Linked DNA regions of Neodiprion lecontei. Each later gene encodes a partner of the first gene's protein in a complex. Links are inferred from orthologs where the notes say so. Each region holds a gene or a part of one and is shown in the gene's direction. Other genes may lie near its edges.

The links.
Region 2: integrator complex subunit 1 (region 1) and integrator complex subunit 12 share a complex: the UniProt entries of both Homo sapiens proteins name them as parts of the integrator complex. The link is inferred for Neodiprion lecontei from reciprocal best matches to the Homo sapiens genes INTS1 and INTS12.

The regions. Positions count from the first base shown.
Region 1 is NC_060263.1:39,937,798-39,944,220, reverse strand, and holds the start of integrator complex subunit 1, read left to right. Parts: upstream 1-2,678; 5' UTR 2,679-2,933; exon of another isoform or gene 2,934-3,085; 5' UTR 3,086-3,140; intron 3,141-3,373; 5' UTR 3,374-3,449; coding exon 3,450-3,612; intron 3,613-3,790; coding exon 3,791-4,266; intron 4,267-4,360; coding exon 4,361-5,650; intron 5,651-5,755; coding exon 5,756-5,931; intron 5,932-6,019; coding exon 6,020-6,172; intron 6,173-6,256; coding exon 6,257-6,423. Other genes in the region: vesicle-fusing ATPase 1, read right to left, coding at 1-342, 442-666, 1,084-1,172, 1,961-1,984. UniProt on the Homo sapiens protein: Component of the integrator complex, a multiprotein complex that terminates RNA polymerase II (Pol II) transcription in the promoter-proximal region of genes.
Region 2 is NC_060264.1:35,288,306-35,294,967, forward strand, and holds integrator complex subunit 12, read left to right. Parts: upstream 1-2,460; 5' UTR 2,461-3,164; exon of another isoform or gene 3,165-3,442; intron 3,443-3,826; 5' UTR 3,827-3,848; coding exon 3,849-4,007; intron 4,008-4,240; coding exon 4,241-4,609; intron 4,610-4,732; coding exon 4,733-4,808; intron 4,809-4,889; coding exon 4,890-5,182; 3' UTR 5,183-5,329; downstream 5,330-6,662. UniProt on the Homo sapiens protein: Component of the integrator complex, a multiprotein complex that terminates RNA polymerase II (Pol II) transcription in the promoter-proximal region of genes.

The DNA.
Region 1 (6,423 bases):
ATTCCCATTTTCTGGAAATCCCAGTCAGGATTGATGATCGATTGTCGAACAACTCTTCCCTTAGCTTTTCCAGTTAAATTCAAGCTCGAATTCTCAGCTTTTTCAAATTGGATCATCGTATCACCTAGGCATCGTCCCATTTTTGTCTTTCTTGGCTTTGCGTCCTGCCCTGATTTTATAGCTGCAATGTCGGCTGCCTCCAAACTTTTGATCACAAGTCCAAGCATCTTTTTATCTTGAAATTGGAATGCCAACTGCTGCCCGACTGTAAATGCTTGGCCTGAGAACTGCAGCAGAAATTCCTTCGCCATTAGTTCCGTGTCATATGGCTCCAGTGTCGTTCTGAAAAATAGTTTCATTCAATTCCATTGATTTATCCATGGTTTGCTTTTGAAAAAAGTTAAACCTAAAGCTGTAAGTTTCATTATTTCTAATACTCACGTTTTCTTTTGCAGGAAGTCGGCTTCGACGACGATTGTGCAGAGGAATTCAGAGCTCGATGTTGGGTCAAAGTGATAAGGACGAACTTCGATGTCCTGATTGAGGGACAGTGTTGCCCATTTACGTTGAGGCAAGCTGAAGCCGACTGTTCCACGAGGTATGTCATGATGGGTCTTTACCGTGAAAACGAAATGCTGATTTGGACCTGTAGTAACTTCGATGTGCCTGAGACAATACACATTGTTAAATCTTGCGAATCGAATCCGAATTAGATTACATTTGACAATTGTGGTAAAAAGAAGGTGTAGTGAGATTGTACTTCGTTTGCGGACAATTCAAATATCCTGATTAATGACAGAACCATTGCTAGAAATGAGGGATTGACAATAAACTATTTGGTTTATAGATCATCAGCAAAACAGAGGAAATGAAGAAAGTGAAACGAGTTTCAGAAAATTTTGGATCTTCAGTTGTACTGCCATGTATCAAGTTTTTTTCAATACAATTCCAAACAAACTTGATTTTTCAAAAAATAATTAAGTAATAATTAAAACTTCATTGTTATTACTACACCAGCTTTCTTTGATTGCTGTAATAATTAATTCAAGCATAATTTAAGCAAATCGTAGGCAAACTACTCACTTTATATCATCTGGAAAATCATCACGATTTATCACAGCACAGTTGGAGAGGCTGAGCTCGTCGGTAGGACACTTGATCGCTTTCATTATCTATGAAAAATGTAATATTGTTAGTAACAATAAATCAGACAAAATAAACGAGAAGCTATGGCCAAGGTTATAAAATTCAAGTTGAAATCGCTGAGCGACAGTGAACTTAGGTAAAGATTAGATAAGATTTAATGATGAAAGTAAAATTGATTGGGTTCAGAATTCGCAGAACATTGATTTTATATGTACACCCACAAGTTTGGGAATTTTAAATAGAAATTATGCCAGCTGGTCGGACAGTTTGAGTAGCTATTTATAAATATTCTAAAATACATGTCACACACTGTCAAACTGATTCAAATAAATAATATTTGGCGGTGAGGAAATGGTATAACGATATAAGAGTCACTTGGTGCATTGCACATGGTTCATTTATTTGACTGAAATTCGACTAGTAAGTATATTTAAGCAAATATCGTCACGAGGCGTGACTGCAGGTGAGGAAAGGATGAATTAGATGTGATAAACGTCATTTTTACTAATCAGAAAAAAAGATTAAACAGAAAACCTTTTTTGTCGCGCGCGATAGTTACGGAATCAGGCTTCAAATACGAAGGTGATTTTCGAAGAAATTATTTATCCGGGAATGAACTAATAGCTCAATAAATTCAACGTGACATAAGCTGCGACTGTAATCAGGATTATTGACGTTTCAGTTGCGCCGAAGGGGCGTGCGTTATTTTGTGCAGCAAACGCTCGTAGGATTTATGATCGCAAGTATGATGTTCCTTTGTGTTCGTAATTCAGCGATTTAACGTGTAATTAACAGATCTTAAGCAACAACTTACCATGCCCGGCATACTTTTTGACATAAATACGATAAACTTAGGCTCCTGCTTCTATAGAACCCGCAATGCAGACAGTTCTGTTCTCTTTTTTTTTCCCTTCCCAGCAATCTGAATGCGATCAAGCTTCGAACTGAAGAGAGTATCTAGAAGGAGAATCAGTGATCACGTCAGCATGCTGGGCCACCATAAAACTGTAACTAGAGAGAACAGCCTGCGCGAGTCGCTTGCGTCCCGTGAGTGTTGGCGCTCTCTCATATCATTCGTTTCATAGAGCCAAAGAGCCTGAAAGAGCCTGAGAACCATAGACTTTTATGATGAGAACCCGTTACAGGGTGCATTTTCACGGGCAGTAAATTAATGCCATCGCAGCTAGCAGCGCCACGCTGCTACAGAAAGTGAAGAGCTTTCCGTGAAAATGTATCGGCAGCGGCAATAAAACGCTGCCCGACAAGCGCAGCCGTGAACTGATCACATGGTTTATCAGTGAATCTCATTTGTGTTGATATTCGCTTGCAATTCGTGAGTTCCGTAGTTCCGACCCGTGGTTCCGATGGTGCCAATTAGCCTTCTCTTACGCGTTTTTTTGTGATACCCGGCAACAATAACATCCTTCTGAACACGTCAGAACTACGGGTCGGAATTATAGGACTTATGAATTGCAAGCGAATATCAAAGGAAATGAGATCCACTGATAAACTACCCGATCAACTAAAGGCTGCGCTTGTCGGGCGGCGTTGTGCTGCCCCTGTCGACACATTTTCACGGGAAGTTTTTCGCTTCGTTGCGTTGCTCGCTACCGCGGCGTTTTACTGCCTGTGAAAATGCACCCGCATACAGCATTGCATACACACTGCACTACTGCAGTCGTCAAGAAATTCGCTTAATTCAGTTGTGTTGCACCCAGTCGCACCGCAGACGCTACAACTGTTTTCGAGTGATTTGAACTCCAAAAATGAGGAAGGGAAAATCAAAAGTATTTTGATGTAATATTTAAGTGAAAACTCCAATTAGAAAATATATTGAGAAGAACAGTGGTAGCATGGAAGCTTCTTCATCGTTCAAAAAATTAAACACGTTGTCTTCCTGTTAAATTATGTGTCAAACGGCTTTTCTTTCTCCGTATAGGTTAGGTTGAGATGCGGCGAGAATTTCAATCGCAGATTGCGAACTCCGTTCTTCGGTAAACCATATTTAATGATATGTGTATCACGTTTCTGATTACTCTCAAATTTTATGCAGTTCCTTGCTGCATAAAGTTATAACTGCTTCAAAATTGTGTTCTATTTTCCTGTTTCTCCTGCTTAATCTCATTACATTCTTACCAATTTTACATTCTTAACAAGCGCCATAAACATTGTCTTATATACATTTGTATAATTGAATGGTTTAATATAATTTATTTCATTAAAATAGATGTGCATCTATATCTAGATACAACTATCGATCAAGAGCATAAATAGTTTATGCGTTGCATAAAACGTAGGAGCAAATGGATCGCGTAAAGACTGGAACAGGCCGTGGGGCCAAGAGCAAAATAGCTCAGCATCCCGCAGACTTGTTTGCTCTTGGATCAAAAAGTTCCAGAGGTGAAGCTACAGATTCCAAGCGACCTGGTGTGATCCATGGGAAGCCAGGCCCGAGTTCTACCTCAAGTACGACTTTTTTCAGTGCTACTAAAATTTACACTTCTTAGCTTTCTTCAATACTCTCAATGCTCAAGATAGCTTGTGTTTTTAAAATAAGATTGGTGGAATGAATTTGCAAAGACTTCTGGATCGTAAATTAGCTAGTCAAGTGGTGCATCGTTTACATTGGAGTATTTTCGTGCAGGTTCAGATCGTAAGAAGGAAGCTCCACCGGGATCATTGCAGTCACTTATTCCTCAGAAAAAAGCAAAATTGGCTCCACATGTCCCACATTCTCGGCCTCCAATGTTAAGCTCGGAGACTTGGGAGGGTGTAGCCATTGATTGTGATCCAGCGGATTTAGCCCCGATGGTCCTCGAAGCAAGTGAAAATGACGAGGCTGATAAAGTTGTTGGACTTGTTTGTGGAGCTGTGAGAACACTTAAAAATCAGAGATGGAAGCCAGACACTTTAATTTATATGGGTTTAATGTATTTGGCCAAAATACGCCCATCTATTTTTTCAAATGACTGTATTCTGCATGCTTTGTCGTCGCTCCTCAAACGAGATCAGACACATAATTTCAAGAGCAAGGGAAATCCCTTGGTACCAGTGCTAGCGGCCAATTTATTGATGAGAGGCTTTCACGAGAAGAGGAATTGGCCAGAAATATTTGTCAAAGTAATTGCTGATATCCTTTAATTGCCTTTTACCAAATCGTAAATTTACGCATGTTTGATTATTTCACGTTAACATATCCAATAAATTCTTACAGCTTTACATCGAGGATGCACTGGGTGAACGAGTCTGGGTAGATAACGAAGAGTGTAAAGGATTTGTGGATAACATTTTGACGGGTTTCAACACGAGGCACCCACCCAAAAGTATATTACAGCCGGATGTGTCGATATTAACACCGAGGGAGTGTCACAGTCCATCGACATTAGAGGATGACGACCCCGCCACCTCTGCTATTCAGTTATCCGGAGACAAAGAAAAAATCGAGTTTCCAGTTATGCCCAGATATGCACACTGCATAGAAAACATTGAATTGGTTGTGTTAGAGACAGTAAAAGAACAATTGAACAGACGTCAACCAGAGTCAATAACCAGAAACTTTTTGAAATTACTCTCCTTCGCTTGCGGCTTTGTAGAAATTCGAATCATCGCTGTTCCAAAATTAGAAATGTGGCTACACAATCCCAAGCTTATGAGACCTGCTCAAGAATTACTCAGTTATGTCTGTTATAATTGTATAACGCACACACAAAGAGACGTTGAAGTGATAAGTCAGTTGGTGAAAATGAGGCTTAAAACTAAGGCGGTAATCAACATATATCTGAACGGTGTTAGAGAGCTGATAAGCCTCCACCCAGAAAATTTATCAACAACTCTGAAACATACAATCTATAATGAGTTATCCAGTGCTAGAAATCCAAATAACATGCCGATGCTTGCAGTTATGTTTCAAGCTGCTCCTGAAGCTGCTGCAAGATTACTTGCCGAAATATTTCAAGATTTGCTTATGAATCGCGAGGATTATTTAAGACCTTTAAGGGCATTGTTAAGGGAAATAGTCCGTGTATGCAGACACGACATAAATCTGCTCACATTGGCGCGTACGTTGATGGCAGAAAGAAAAGAAATATCGCAGCAACTGCTCAGCTTCGAGTTTAAAGACAGAGTTTTTGTATCGATTATTGATTTATTGTGCTTGTGCATGTTTTTGGCCATCAGCCCTCAAGTCAAGGAGGCTGCCTTGCTGGCTCAGAGAGGTGACAAAAAAGATGTAGCCCTCTTGCAACAGTTTCAAAACTTGGTCGCCACTTTACAGTACGAGTCTGTTTCCTGGCTTCAAAATTTAGCACCGCAGATGTACAGTGTTGGAAGGAACGAGCTAATTCATGCCTTGCATAAAATATTGCTGTTAGAATCTCCGGACCATTATTACAAGCTGGATAACTGGCCACCAGAATCAGATCGAGTCTTTTACATTCGTTTAGTATCGGATGTTCCTCTACTGCAAAGCACGTTGTTAAGATTACTGCTGATAGGGTTTTCTAAGGTGAGTTTTTTTTTCTTATTTTTTTCAATCTTATTTTTCTTATTCAGGCCTACCTAATCAAGCAATATCAATTTGGAATGTTTTTACTTTCTTCTTTGTTTTCAGGAAAATGGTGTAACACATTCTGAAACCTTGGAAGTAGCTGATCAACTGATAAGGCGAGCAGCATTAAACTCCTCTGAAAGCTATCCTACTCTAGCAGCTGACAAGATGGACATAATAGAACTGATTTTCAATCTTTGCGTCTATCAACCACCAGGTTCTATCAATATTCCTCCAGAGTAAGTTTTATACTTTCGTACACTGCGAACTGAGCAGTACAAAATCTTCAAATGATATTTACTTTCTAATCATGCTTTGCTTTTTTAGTTACGAACCACCAACTTTGGCTATATCAAATTTGTATTGGAAAGGTTGGATAATGCTACTGATACTAGCAGCCCATAATCCATATTCATTCGGTGCAGTAGGATGGAAAAGATATCCAATTTTGCAAACCTTCATGGAAATGTGTATAACAAAGTAAATATCCTTGTCATTTTTCGAAAGTCAAATCTTTTTTTCCTTGTTTACTTAAAAATTTGAGCAATGACCTGTTTGTTTCAGCCACTTTTCATATCCCCCACCAACGATGGCCTTACCTGAAGTTAGTGAACAAGAACGAGCTAAGGAACTGCAAGTAGAGGCGCTAGAGAAGCAAAAAATACTAGAGTATGAAACCCACTTGGCCGCTGCATCGACGAGAATGCAAATTTCCGAACAAAATAGTCTTT
Region 2 (6,662 bases), on another chromosome or scaffold:
GAATGAATTCTCATAAACTAACCGAGCAATGATTAGTTTATGTCGGACGTAAAACGACTCGTTGCAAAATTCTATGTCACAGATAACGTGGAATGTGTAATTGAATTATATTATTTCTATTGGTTCTGTGAGTCCTTTGTGGTATCGGTTTTTGTAACGTCCTATGTAAACGTTTACCTATACTAAACAAATACATACACCTATGTATATACACTATACATATATACATGGATGAATTGCGAGTAGGCGTGTCTCTTTAGCAATAAGATGAGGTTTTCTTTACAATGTCTGAACAAAGAATTTCACAGATATTATCGGTACCTTGCGTTTATTCATTATTATCGTATCATATGTTATACCTATACAATATATATAAATGCGCTTTCTAATTAATTATAACTTAAGGTACTTACCAAGTATGCGTATGAAAAATTACAACTCGCCTCAGAAAATCGATAATGCTGATTTATTTGTTGATCTATTTTCTTCAGGAAAAAAGCAAGTAACTTAAGTCTAATATGATAATGATGATAATAATAATAATAACAACAACAACAACAATAATAATAGTGATAATAATACTAGCTGAAGATGTCAAGTCTCAAACGGAAACTTTTCTACAAGATAAAAAGGAGACATCGATGACCAATTACTTATGTTTCTGATTCAGTTGAGCTGGAATTCCTGCTTCGATTCGTATATTATTTGGCAACAAAAAAAAAAGTTACGACCACCTTTACCGTTATAGAGGCAACTATTCTGATGTTACTGAATTTTGTTTCTCATACGAGTCTTCCAGACATATTTTCGCCAAGATATATTGTTCTGAATTATTGTAATTCGTAAAATCTATCTAATCTGAGTTTCGTTTCATTGTTTGAAGCCGCGAAATAGATTTACTTCATGTTATTCGAAAATATCTTTCCTTCGAGTTTCAGTTTCGAAATTCTCAATAACGATTGATTAAACGTCATACAAATGCTTGCAATTTGTGATTTTCTTAAAATTGTTGTACATAATTTATAGCAAACTGATTAAGAAGTCAACGATTAGCTGATAGACTTTTTTTTGTTTTATAAACTTGTAAATAATACTATAATAATATTTTATAGCGCTATATACAAATAAATATTTGCGCTTATCTTGAATTATACACATTTAGGTAGTATTTATAATAGATCTGTGATTGTAATATTTTTTTAACTCTACCATATTATTTATATTATTGCCAACTATGCGTGGTGCGGTATATTGAAAAATTGTGGTTTTTGGATCAGTTTGCTTACGGATTTCAATTAGTAGATAAACCCTAGCCATAGTTTATACTTGACTTGCGAATACCGTATAATCAGTATGAGTATACATAAAAATTGTAGTTTGTATACGTTGTGTACATACATACCCAGAGTATTGTGATTCCCTGAAGTAAGATACTCGTGTGTGGTTCAACAATAACGTCACCTGCAAAGAGCGTCGTGTAGAAAAATGTATTTACCTAAATATGTATGCGTGTAGTTCATTTTCCAGTGTCATGCGATTACAGTAAAGAAAATTAAAATCAAGAAAGGTTTTCATGCGAGAGAATATGAATGTAAATATATAAAGAAAAATATATAAACGTAGTTGTATTGATCGATGTAGCAACAAGTAATATGATAATGACTATGATACGTGAAAGAAGAAACAAAAAAGGATGTAATTTGCAATTACCATCAACAACATCGATCACAATGACTTTACTTTAGACATACACAAAGTTTACCACAAAATTTTCATATAATTTACTTTACACAATTTCCTTAAAACGTACGACTGACTGCTTCACAATCATGCTATGGTCAACACAATACCCCGAAATGTTAATTTTTCAATAATACTATTGTTATCATCCTGATAAGACTTTCATAAAAAAAAAAAAAAAAGGAATACTTATAAATATAATATACATTGTACAGCAGCCATGCTTATTGCATAGCGTGAAACTGTTTGAGCATTTCGAAAATCCTAAGTTTCAACCTGTACAATATTTTTAATACAACAAAAATGATGATACGCTGTTAATATAATATGTAAGCTACATATTTATTTATACGTCGGCTATCCGTCTAACCGCGTGTATAAATATCCCTGCGTACTCGAAATGAAAATGATCATAACTTATTCTCTTCTAGCAACAAAATTGTACTTAACGTAAAATGTAAAATAAAAGATCTGTGTGTAGATATGATGCTCGTAATTACGCCCATATCGTCACCCTATTAAAGATTATTTTGTTATAAATCACATAACGCGTTATGACCGAAATTCGGATGTATTTTATCATGTAATTTAACATGTGAATACGAATTAATACATAACAAATCATACGATAAATCACGAAGTATAGATTATAAGATAAAATACACAACAAATCATATACCGAAACCTATGATTTCTCATATGATTTACGTATTTTATGTTATAATCTATACTTCACGATTTACTATGAGATGTAAAAATACGTATTAAATTGTATTCACATGTTAAATTGCATCATAAAACACATCCGATTTTCGGTCATAACATTATGTGATTTATCACAGAATAATTTTCAGTAGGGTTGATTACAGTACGAATCAGACCGCCGCTACCTAAGAAAATATGACGTCACAACAGAAAAACATTCATTAGGCATATGGACGTGCCTACAGACCAACTTCGTGCTACAAACATGCTCTAAGGTTTTATCATGGAGCAATATTAATGGTTTTATATATTGCAAATTTCAAATTACCCTCATGGTGTATTACACTACGATTACCCTTAGATTCTCGTCATTTTCTTCTCATGTCAAGTTTTCGAACAGAATATCTTTCGTGGACACTTATCGGTCTAGAATGAAAGCATTGTGATTTGCGATATTTAAATTGTTACCGCAATCGGTTAAAACTTTGGAACGCACCAATTACATCACTGAACTCGAACGAGTGCTTCGAACTCTATCGGCACAACAGATAACTCGCCGATACGATCCCCAGATGTCGCTACGAATATTCAGTAATCGCAAAACAAGAGACTAGCATGAGAAATGGGTGGGAAAACTCGTGTTAGTAGTAATAGTAGTATGCATGTACCGTCTTCTCAAGTGGTCTGTGGTCCTTCTACCCCGCATCCGATGGTATTGGGTATAGCCTGCCGGTTGTTTTACGCTATACTCCGTGGTTTTACGTTTTATATAGCGTTGTTCCATACATGCTCCGCACACATCAGCGTGAAGCACGTACTTAAACAGCACTGCACAGGGCCAATAGCCACAATAGCAGTGGCACGTTGATTCTGCACAGAACTGAAGTAGACAGAAAATACTGATCCAATAGTACTTATCTATCCATTCCTCGGTTTTTTTTGCAAAGATATTATTTAGGTTTTAAATCGATTTCAATGGTCGTATAATGTTAGGACGGTAATTATTAGAAACAATATATTATGTAGGGAATGACCTCATGTTTCTATTTAAGTCTGTTAAATACCGAAGTGAACTATTGTATCTAAAATAGCTTGGCTTGAAAAGAAAAATAAAATACCCTCGATATCAGAATTCAAAATCATTCTTCCACCATGTAAAACACATCTCCCTCATTCCTAAAACAGGAGAAAAACTTCAAATTGTTCAGTGAAAATTTAAGCAAATATGAGGAATTAAAATTATTCGAACCCCTCCTTTGTTTGATCACTTGTGATGCCTTCTATTTTTGAAAGGATCTCCAATATGATAAAAACATTGTCTTCCTTGTAAGATAGAAGTATAACCACGCAGCATATTTTATTTTTTAACATTTTTTCCCAGGTGAAACAGTGTTGCGATAATAATGTCTCAGTTGGATCTCGACCCTCAATTCATGCAAGGACTCCGTCTCCTACATTCGCCGAACAAGGATTCAGCAGAACAACTTCGGTCCCTTCTTGATGACGCAATCAGACAAAAACATGGCCCAGCGAAAATGCTCTGCAATGTTCTCCATAAAAAGGTACAAATAATAGATTATTTTTATTTTCCCAGTCCAGGTCTCAATTTGTTAATTGTTCTTGATATTGAAAAGGCACTGTTCAACAGCATAGTATCAACATTATTGTTTAATCGCTTCATTTCGATTTTAATAATATGCTATATGAAATCTTATCGATTTTTGCCTCTCCCCAAAAATTAAAGGATCAATCTTTGTTCCATTGCAATATCGCTGTGAATTCATTTATTTTTCAGTACACAATGGAAGAGCCAGTGCTTAGTGACCACAGCAGTGGTAGTAGCAAGAAGAGCAAAGGATCCACCACGTCATCCAAGCACTCGAGCAAATCGAGTAAAAACAGTTCACCCATCAACCTACCTTCGCACGACACTCCCCCAGATATTATCCAGACAGATGACACTTTCGCCCTAGAGATTCTAGAAGATGATTTAACATGCGTCATTTGCAAGGGAATGGATGTAGGGGCAAGGAACCGACTTGTGGAATGTGTAGAATGCCATTCTCTCTATCATCAGGAGTGCCATACGCCTCACATTCTGGATACTCAAATAGATGATCCGAGACTAGTTTGGTATTGCTCGAGCTGTTCAAAATCTCAACAGGTGGGTAAGGTTTTGTTTGAAAATTCTATGCCCACAGACATTTTTTCATTTTGAGGCAGGTCTTCTAATTGTATTTGGAAGCTTGGTTGACTTTCATTTTAATTATTCCTTCAACTATCTCAGGCGTCAAAGGACAGAAGTTCGCCGCGAACTATTGCCGAAGGAAAATCGAAAGATCACAAAAAATCATCAGGTTCCAGTAAGTGTACCAAAAGGAAGAAGAGTTCAATGATATTTTCATACAAAATGCTTGATTCCTTCGTTAATTTGATTTCCGTAGCCTCGAAGCATTCCGACAAGTACAAATCAACTTCTAGTAACGCTACCTCGTCACAGTCGAATAGTGGCGGCAGTACACCAACAGGTGCATCTAATGCACCAAAACTCACACCGAATATAAACATTGTCAGTGGGGACAGAAGATTAAGGGATATGATGAAGAAAGTGAAGCAAGAGAAACGCAGTAACAGTAGTGGTAGTAGTAAGCATTCTTCGTCAAATGCACTTTTATCTTCGTCAAAAACTGCCCAAGATAAGTCTTTACTGTTTAAGATAAAATCGGGCTCAGAATGAATGATAGGAATTAAATCCTTTTTTTTATGTTCCTCTCATGCCGAGCAATCTTGCTTCGAGAGCCGATTTTGGATTGAAAAAAACTCTGTATGTAAATGTATCGAAGTAAAACAACCTTTTTTTTTATTTAAAAAAGAGTTTATCCAATTCTGACCAAACTTTTATCCCTTGCCCCTTTTTTTTAGACAGGTATAACATGGTATGAAATGAATAATGGGAAGACATAATAAGAACGTTTAGTTTATAATACCAATATATTTTGCGATTTCTCAAATGTTTGTCCCTACGTCCCATTGAAAATTTGGCAAGAGTCGTTTTCGTTTGTTTGTTCATAATTTGTTTTTTTTTTTATCTCATTTTTTTTCCGAGCGTCACTTAGAACCTAGTAGGTGCGGGATTTTTGGTTATTATGTACAGGGGTGTCATGGGGATATATTAGCATGCACACACATATATACATATTTCGTAATCTAATAATAAAATATGTTCGCTTCCTATATCAAAGTGGTGTGCCTACTCATATTACCCAACAATACCTAAAGTATTTCCAAGTACCCGTACAGAGTATGTTCCTATTTAATGCTAATCCAATATGGTGACTTAAGTGATTTCAAGCGCGCAGCAATAAGTGAATATTGATTGGTGAAAAGTTTTAATTTTCGTTACCATCTGTACAAAATTTATAAATATTTGAGATATATGTATATTGTATGTATATATCAGCTGTAAAACCTATGTTCGCGTTTGTTGTGCACAACTTATATGAAAATTATAACAGAAACAATTGGCACATTTGTATAAAAAATGTACGTACGCGACTTCAGAATGTCTATATTAATGTATCTATATACCTTTTTATTTTAATTTTTAATTTTACTTTATATTATATCAATATGAACAAAGCTGTAATTGGCGTTATTGTTTTCTGAATCGTTTCATCTTTTCCTTTCTTTCATCTAAACAGCTACAATCATAAATAAGTTAAAATCATCATTTCGTACACAAATGTTAGTCTGTTTTTTAGTTTCTTCTCGTATAACACAAGCTGAAAAAGTACACTGTAACGGAGATGATGGACTAACATGAAAGTTTCAAAGTGATCACATTGGATATATTGAAGCCGGAATATGCTCTTGGGGTACTTTCAAAAAATTTTAACTCCTTGTGGTTATTTGCACGCATTCGCGCACTAAAGTAATTGTCTTCGGTGAGTCTGTCGTCCGTTCGTATCTGTGATCCACCCACTACGTAGCCGATTATTATGTGTGCACGTAACGTGTTTTATTTTTCACTTTTCGAGTAAACACGTACGTTGCTCGCACACGCTGCTGCAAAATATCACTGTCCAATAATGCAATTCAACCGATTCCTTTGAATAACGATAGCGTTAGCCGGTGTGGATAACATGTAGAAAAGTAAAAAATAAAAATAAAAATATACACATAAGACGAAACTCCAAGCATGACAATGTTTGCAACCG